2 linked regions of the Nothobranchius furzeri genome follow. The protein of the gene in region 1 purifies or fractionates together with the protein of each later gene. This does not show direct contact. Links are inferred from orthologs where the notes say so. Each region holds a gene or a part of one and is shown in the gene's direction. Other genes may lie near its edges.

What was found. The genes of interacting proteins can lie anywhere in the genome.
Region 2: the proteins of akap1b (region 1) and prkacab purify together in Homo sapiens (affinity purification with mass spectrometry; 8 studies listed by BioGRID and IntAct, with this or other methods). This does not show direct contact. The link is inferred for Nothobranchius furzeri from reciprocal best matches to the Homo sapiens genes AKAP1 and PRKACA.

Annotation. Positions count from the first base shown.
Region 1 is NC_091753.1:61,600,091-61,604,297, forward strand, and holds the start of akap1b (A kinase (PRKA) anchor protein 1b), read left to right. Parts: upstream 1-1,354; 5' UTR 1,355-1,532; intron 1,533-2,820; exon of another isoform or gene 2,821-2,933; intron 2,934-3,019; 5' UTR 3,020-3,044; coding exon 3,045-4,207.
Region 2 is NC_091744.1:6,143,498-6,147,543, reverse strand, and holds the start of prkacab (cAMP-dependent protein kinase catalytic subunit alpha), read left to right. Parts: upstream 1-1,201; 5' UTR 1,202-1,425; coding exon 1,426-1,471; intron 1,472-4,046.

The DNA of each region.
Region 1 (4,207 bases):
CTGCTCTGGAGTGGTTCTCCTCTTATCTCTCTGAGCGCTCCTTTTCTGTGGCCGTCTCCAAGTTTAGGTCCTCCACCACCTCTCTTACCCATGGTGTCCCACAAGGTTCTGTGCTGGGGCCTCTACTCTTCCCCCTCTATCTGCTTCCTCTTCAGCACATCCTGAGCTCCTTCAAAGGAATCTCCTACCATCTTTATGCAGATGACATCCAACTGTACATCTCCTTTAAGCCCCATGAGATGTCTAAGCTGCAGCTGTTACACACCTGCTTAGACTCTATCAAAACCTGGATGGCTGGGAGCTTTCTTCAGCTGAATGAAGATAAGACTGAGATCCTCATCTGTGCCCCAGACAAGCTGCTTCCCAAAGTCAGAGACTCTCTTGGTCAGCTTGCTTCCCACACCAAACCCTCTGTCAGGAATCTTGGCGTGACCTTTGACCCAGCTCTCACCCTGGATTCTCATGTCAGTTCTCTTGTTGGCTCTTCCTTCTTCCATCTCAGGAACGTTGCTAAGCTGAGTCCCATTCTGTCCCGCTCTGAACTTGAGACAGTCCTCCACACCTTCATCTCCTCACGCTTAGACTACTGTAACTCTCTTTTCACGTGTCTGAGCAGAACCTCCCTGAACCGTCTACAGGTGGTTCAGAATGCCTGTGCTCGGCTTCTGACCAAGTCCTCCAAACACACCCACATCACCCCGCTTCTCCTCCAGCTTCACTGGCTGCCAGTCAACTTCAGGGTTCATTTCAAGATCCTGGTTCTGGTCTATAGGGCCTTACATGGACAAGCACCATCTTACATTGGTGATCTTCTTAGTCCCTACACCCCCAGCAGGTCCCTGAGGTCCAGTGACCAAAGCCTACTGGTTGTGCAGCACCAGGCTAAAGGTCAAAGGTGACAGATCATCTGCTGCTTTGGCCCCCAGACTCTGGACCTCTCTCCCCCTGAGCCTGAGATCAGTGGACTCAGTGGTCTCCTTTAAAAAGCAGCTGAAGACTCACTTGTTCAAGCTGGCTTTTGTATGACCTTCCTCACCTCTCTCTTTATTCTGCTCTCTCCACCTATTCCACCTTCCTCAGGATCCACTGGTTTCCCTCCTTCCTGTTCACTCTCTCTCTTTCTTAACATTTTTTCTTTTAAATCCCAATTACCTATTTTTGCTCATTTTAAATATATTTTTAAACATTTTCTAAATGCTTTTTTATACTTTTACATTTTTTGTGTGTTTTTGTGAAGCGCCTCGTGATTTTTTATCTTGAGAGGCGCTATAGAAATTATATTTTCTTCTTCTTCTATTTTATGTTGCTTTGTTTAAAAAAAGTCCCACTTCTGCCCACCAGGGGCGACACCGCACCTTTGAGTTAAGTTAAAAACCTAAAAGAAGAAGAGGATGAAGAAGTAGTAGTTGTGTGTTTTTATAGACCTGCGTGGGTCGATCAGCACGTGGAGAGAGGAGTTTGACTTTGTACAGGACTTTTGTTGAAAAGCTTTTCCTTCCTGGCTCGAAGTCGTCGTGGCGGCGCAGAAGAAGGTAAATGAAACAGCGCGATCTCCCAGACTAGCATGCACCCTTGTGCCACCGACTTTTGGCGTTCTCTAAGCAGACAGCCTTTCATCTCCGACTAAATACACACCATTGACATTTCTGGGCACGCTTAGGATGTATCAGGTGTGTGCACTGAAAGTAAGTGCTCGTTCAATGCCATCGTGTCATTGAACGAGCACTTTTGCCCAGTTTTGGGCTGTGCAGCCAGGTCTGCCCCTGTGGTGTCATTCAAGCAGCCGCATGTACGTGTCCTCAGCGGGCACGGATGCGAACGATCACCGTAACAAGCACACCAGAGCTTTTATATCCCAGTAGAAGTGTCGGCTGTCGGCCAGTCAGCGCCGTTGGCTGCGGTGTTAGCATCGCAGGTCAGTAAGCTAGCAGCAGGGCTGAGGCCCGCTCGCAGCAGAACGTCCTTTAACCCGCTTCGACCCAACACACGTGTCCTCCACGGCGCCGCTGCGGCCTAGCCCGGCTCTCAGTTGGTAAAGCAAAACAAAAATGTCCAATATTTAGTCAACGTGTGTCACGTAGATCCTCTCGTTAGTAGGGCCTGACGTTATTAAGTAAAGCGCGAGGACAGATTTCATACAACTTATCCTCTGGTGAGTGAACGAGCCAGCTGTCCCGGTGGGATTAACGAGCTGTCCCTAAAATTCCTGAAAACTTCACGTTTTCCGTCAATCTAGTAAGACGACCCGAGGCCAGCAGGATTATGTTCAAACAGACGGACTGTTCTTTAGCGTCAGCTAGCCGTGAAGCTAAGTCGCTGCTGGGAGTCTCATACATGTAGGCTGTGTCCTACGTGAGAGGAAGGCACCTACAGAGGTGGCTTCTGAGAGCGAGTCTGCGTGTCAGTCCGCAGGAAAGGACCTGGCAGGGACGTGTTTCCACACACACACACACGCACACGCACGCACGATGACCTTAACGGTTCTCTGTGCCACAGTCGGGTGAGAACCACCCAGGGTCATGCAGACGTCCAAGACCAGCGTGCGTCACTTTCACTTGGGTTCAGGGTGTAATGGTGTGTGTTAGGGCTGTGCACGTTCCTAGCCAAGTTCACAATCCAGCAGACACGTGTTGCATGTTTTCTAACACCTTAGAGTGAACGCTGCTGTCCCAGGTGAGTGGTGTGGGATACTCCAAACAAGAAGTACTTTAGTTTCTGAAGCTAAAGTTTAGTCAAAGTTGGTCAGGAAGACAGTTAAAGTCGATTTTATCCTGAAATAACTGATGTAAAAATCAGCTAATGTCACTTCTCTACGAGCAGCAGTCAGACCGACGATGTGGGCTAGTCTGTCAGATGTCTGAGCATTAAGACTCTGCTACGGAGCTCCAGCGAGTCCCTCGGGTCGCCGGGGAGACCTGTTTGCTGACCTGGCTGTAGGTTTGCCACCTAGGTGGTTTCTGTTACCAGAAAGTCTTTGTGACGCCTTTCTCTGCTCATCTGTCCCTGTTTTTAATTTCAGGTGTGCCCCCTGATCTCTTGAGAACATGCTGCTGAGGTTCCGCTCCGTGGTTCCCTACACGCTGCCCGGTGTACTCGCACTCATCGGCTGGTGGTGGTACGCCTCGCGTAAGAAAGAGCGTCTAATCAGCGATGAAAGTTCAGAGGGGCCCCCGAGCGCGGACACATCTCACCTGGAGGGTAGAAACGGCGTGGATGAAAACGGGACTGCCACACCTCCACGTGAAGTGGACTTCTACGGACCTCCGAGTCTAAACCACCAGAGAACACCACATGAAATACTTTCTCCCATCCACACCCAGGATGTTGAAGCAGCACATTCCCTGGTTCAAAGTTCTGATGATCCTGACCCACTGAGTGGCAGACTAATAGCAGAGGACATCTTTACACCCACAGGTCCCACTTCGCCATCACATGAGGAAGATGTGACAGGAAGTTCGTTGAAACCCCCTGGAAGGGACTTCTTAATAGTTTCAGACGGGGAGTTTCATTCAGAGGTGGCTCCGGGGGCCTCGAGCGAGGACGCCATCACGTCTCACCGTGCTACCAAAGTCACCCGTTCGTCCTCTGTGACACGCCTCTCTGGTGCAGAAAGACCAGAGCCAGAGGGTGAAGTTGCTATGCATCAGAGCTCTGTTAACACTCAAGATGAGATTGTTTGTGCACTTACCCTAGCCAAAACACCAAGGGTCCTCCCATCAGAGGCAGACTCTCTGGAGACGTGTCTGTCAGCGGATGTACACAAACTGATACTAACCAGTACACCCACTTCTCTCACCTTCACAGTCCAGGATCCCACCAGCATGCTGGTGACCTCAGAGGACATCCGTATCAAGAGCAGCACTCAAGAAGAGCCGAATCTGGAGCTCCTGGCAGCTGGACTCATCACTGAGGTCATCTCAGCAGCCACCCAGGAAGTGCTCGGTGTCACCAAGGTGTCACCCGGTGGCAGCTCACCCGCGGTCAGAGGACAGCTTTGCTCTCTAGAGGAGCCGGTCGCAGGAACACAGCAGCACGGTTGTCACCCGAGAAGCCTTGTGCAGGGAGGCCCTGAGTGCCGAGAGGCAGCAGATGTCCAGGGAGTGCCAAATGGTGGCTCCATGACTCCAGCACGGGCAGCTGCTGAGGCCAGCAACGGGGTTTGTAAAACAAATGTCTCGTGGCCGCCGCCGCCGCCGCATCAGGCCTC
Region 2 (4,046 bases), on another chromosome or scaffold:
TGCATCTTTATTTAATTTGAAGAGCTGCCACTTTTGCCTAACGTTGACAGTCATTTGGCATGGTTTTACAGCACCTGAGATCAAATGTGGAAAAGAATATAGCTGGTTAATTGGTTGTGCTGTAAAAAATGTGGCTTCAGAGTCAAAGTGATGAGGATGCTATGAGATCTATTTATAGATTTGATTTATTTTTTCCTACCAACACAAGCTTACGTTAAATCAAAGGGGCATTCTAATGCAAATCTGCGAATCGGAGCTTTTGATGATGCTGATGATAAAAGGACCCCTGGTCCGCTGCTCTCTAGTCCAGCTGCTGCGGGGTGATGAAGATGAAACACCAGTTTTTAAAATCTTGTTTATTTGTGTTCATTTCTCACAGAATAGCCTGCGAAATGTTTAGATGTCTTTGCTGCCACACTGCGCCGCGCGTGCGTTAAATTCTGACCAACATTTCTAAAAATAGACTCACGGTTGACGTCACTCAGCCAAACGTGTAACAGTCGCTCAGCAGCGGGAAAGAGCGAAGTAGAGGAGGAGGGTATTTATGTCAATCACTGGTGACAGCCAATGGGCGTCCTCGTGTTCGCTGAGATTCCCACGGTCCGTCCGTATCTAGCCAATAGAAGGGCCGGATCACAAAAAGTGGGCGGAGTCGTTGTCGGGAGGAAAATATTCTGTGACGTTGCCCTCATTCGCGTTGTGTTGGGCGGTGGGAAGCTGCTGTTGTTGATTGACGGCTGCAGTTGGCCAATCACAGTAAACTGTTGGTCACCGCTCTGATAAAGTGGCCAATCATCGACGTAAGCACGAGCTGTCATTCAACGCTGGTTTAAGCAAGTAGGCGGGACGTTCGCTCCGCTGTAGTTCCGTCATCTCGCTGGTCTCCGAGGCTACGGGGGCCCGATGTTGATTTGGGTGAATACCTGTCGTTGTCGGACCCCGCTGAGGCTAAAATTTTGCTAAGCTGGTTTTATTGACAACAAGCGAGACGCTTTCGATTGAGAACATTGCTCCCTCTCCGCTGGTATTGTTGTTTTTATAGGCTGGGAGAGGTGGTGGAGAGCCGGGGAGGGGAGCTCCGTTCGGCGGGGGCTGCAAGGAGGGTCAGGTGGAGACTGTATCCTCCGTGTCCAGGCCAGCTGCCTCCGAGCTCAACCCTGAAGCTCCGGCGAAGCCCCAGCTCAACGTGGATTTAAATCCGATGCTGGCCAGCGGCTGCGGGTGACCGTGGGAGGGAGCGAACCCGCTTATCTAACGTGGCGCCGCATTAGCAGCTGTCAGGCTACTAAAGAGCAAGACCTCGGAGTGAACGCTCCGTGCTGCTGCTGGATTCAGGAAAACACCGTCCAGATCGAGATTTGACCGACTTGAGGAGGCTGCAGGGCGGCCGGAACGCCGCGGATTGCCTGTTGACAGGTTGTCATCATGGGCAACGCGCCCACGGCAAGAAAGGGCAGCGAGATGGAAAGCGGTGGGTATCCTGATCCGTTACATCCTCACGAGATGATCAGAGACAACGTGACACGGCAGGCGATGTTAGCTTTACAAAACCTGCAACACAGCGGCCTTTCCTCACGATGCTTTCATTTAATACCATCCACATGATGTCCTCCTTACAAGCGAATTAGGATGTTATTTGACATGAACCCCATACCAGCAGCGATGGCTGCAAGTTCTTCATCATTTCAAATATGTTATTGAGATCTCTAAATAAAACTCAAGATTTCCTGCTACAGGGCATTTAACTGAGGATGCAAAGCTAGAATTAACTGCAAAACAACCACTCTTAAGCTGCAGTAATATTGGCATCCTCACTTCCTCTTGTACTCGGATCTTGGCAAGACTGCAACAAACTATGTGTCAGATATTTCCTGAACACTCTGTGCCTGTTGCTCTTTGGAGGGATGTATTGTCAAGACTTCTTGCAAACATGGGGGGGGGGGGGGGGGGGGGCATTTAGTGTTGATTGGCTAAGGGATATAATTTGGTCTATCAAATAAACAAAAGTATGGAAGCCTACTGATGAGAAAGCGATGGCAATCAAAGCGATTGTGTTTTATAAATCTACATTTTAGGTTGACATTACGTGACTTTTCATTAAGAACCACAACCTTTGTACCTCAGGGCGCAGTAAAAACAACCTGCACATTGGAAACATGAAAAATATACATTCTTCAATATGAAGCGTGAATATTTTGGCTCAGAATCGCTGCTTTGGATGTTATTCTTGTGTGTTGTTGTGCTGTAAGTTTTACTCACGTTTACAGCAATCCTGTTACTAAATAAAACTGGATTTACTTTGACTAATTTGATAGACGATGTGTGGGGCTGGGAAAAAGTATTTACCTCTTTACAGATTTCTACAGTCTTTGCTTTTGGGGTCAAATTTAGATGTTTCAGACTCTGCTAATTTCAGTATCTGATTTAATTCATCAAGGTGGGGGGAAATTGTCTGGCTCTATGTGAAAATAGCCTGCAGCCAGCCGCATGCTTCCTTATGGGAAGTTCTCTGTGTAGAATTAAACAGAGGATGAGTCTGGCAGGCCAGGCTAATGTGAAAACTGTTTAATTGGGGATAACACCTTTGGTGACAACAGCTGATGCAGCTTTAAGGTCAAAGGCTACAAACTCCTTCAAGATTTTCTGATAGAATTCATGTTTGCATCCGTTGCAGCAAGTGGTCCAGGTGCTGAAGCAGCGAAGCCCTAAACATCACACTACCACCACCATGGTTGACCATGATGCTCTTTCACTGACATTTAATTTTACACCAGATTTAATGGGTTGCACACCTTCCATAAAGTTTGAATTTCATTTGGTCAGTCCACAAAATATTTTGCCAAAAGCCCGGGAGATCATGATGCCTTTGGCAAATGTGAGATGGGTCTTAGTTGTGTTCTTTTTTTAATCTGCTGAGGTTCTGGCCTTGGAACTATAAACATGAATACTTAGATGACCCATTGGGCTCTGGGGAGTGTAACAGCGTGCATTCAGGCTTCCAACACAAAATAATGGACACCACCAGTGTTGTTGAGTACTAAAAGAACTTCAACAAAAGAACTTACCAAGTATTCTGTGCACCTAAATAATAGTGACACACACCCCCATCGACAGTTGCCACATACAACCTGAAAAACATTACAAATAAGATGTAGAAACGCCAGGAAAAGTGACACCGGTCAATTTAGGCAGAAATGTTGAAATTTTTAACGACATAACAATTGATAACAACAATAAACAACTACTCGGTTCTGTAAAAAAAAAAAACAGAACATATAAATGAGAAAAAAATAAAGCTGAAAACTACTTCCTGGTAGCACTGGACATCTTAAAATTTGTGATCTTGGGTCCTCTGAAACCTACCAGCTCGCAGCTCAGAATTCTGAGTTTAATGCGTCATTTCCGGTTAACTTACCTCAGAAAAACGAGTTCTGACGACAACTGGAACGCACCACTAATCTCCATTTTCAGTCAATGGGGCTAAAAAAGCTATTTTTTAATCTGCTTTGCCTGACGCCCTGAATTGCACACATGTTGCACTTCAATTTAAATGAAAAGTAAAGATGTGTGTTTCGATCACACCTGTCAAATTTTGAAACGTATGAGTTTGTAAAAATTTGTAATTACAATTACAAATCGGACGTCCCCCCCCCCCCCCCCCCCCCCCGTGTAGCTGCTATTTACCACATGGCAAGATTCATGGTTGTTCTTTCCTACTGAAAGAAGGATTCGAAGCTCCCTTAACCATTTTTCCTATCCTCTTCTATAATGGCCTCCATTTAAAATGATAGCGCAGCCGCGATGTGGCGCGTCTGTCTCCGGTGTGCCCTAAGCTTTAGACACCATAAAGACAGCACCAATCCAAGGGGGGCCTACATATGGTATGTCTGTTGGGTTATAAGCTTGACTCTCCGAAAGTCCAGTTAGAATTGACAAAGTTCATCGGATGAGAAGCGAAACATCTTCAAGAAACCAAAGAAGTCCAGTTGCCTTCATTTGAACTCTCATAATGCAATTTTTTTTTCAGCTTTTTCTTATGTTGAATT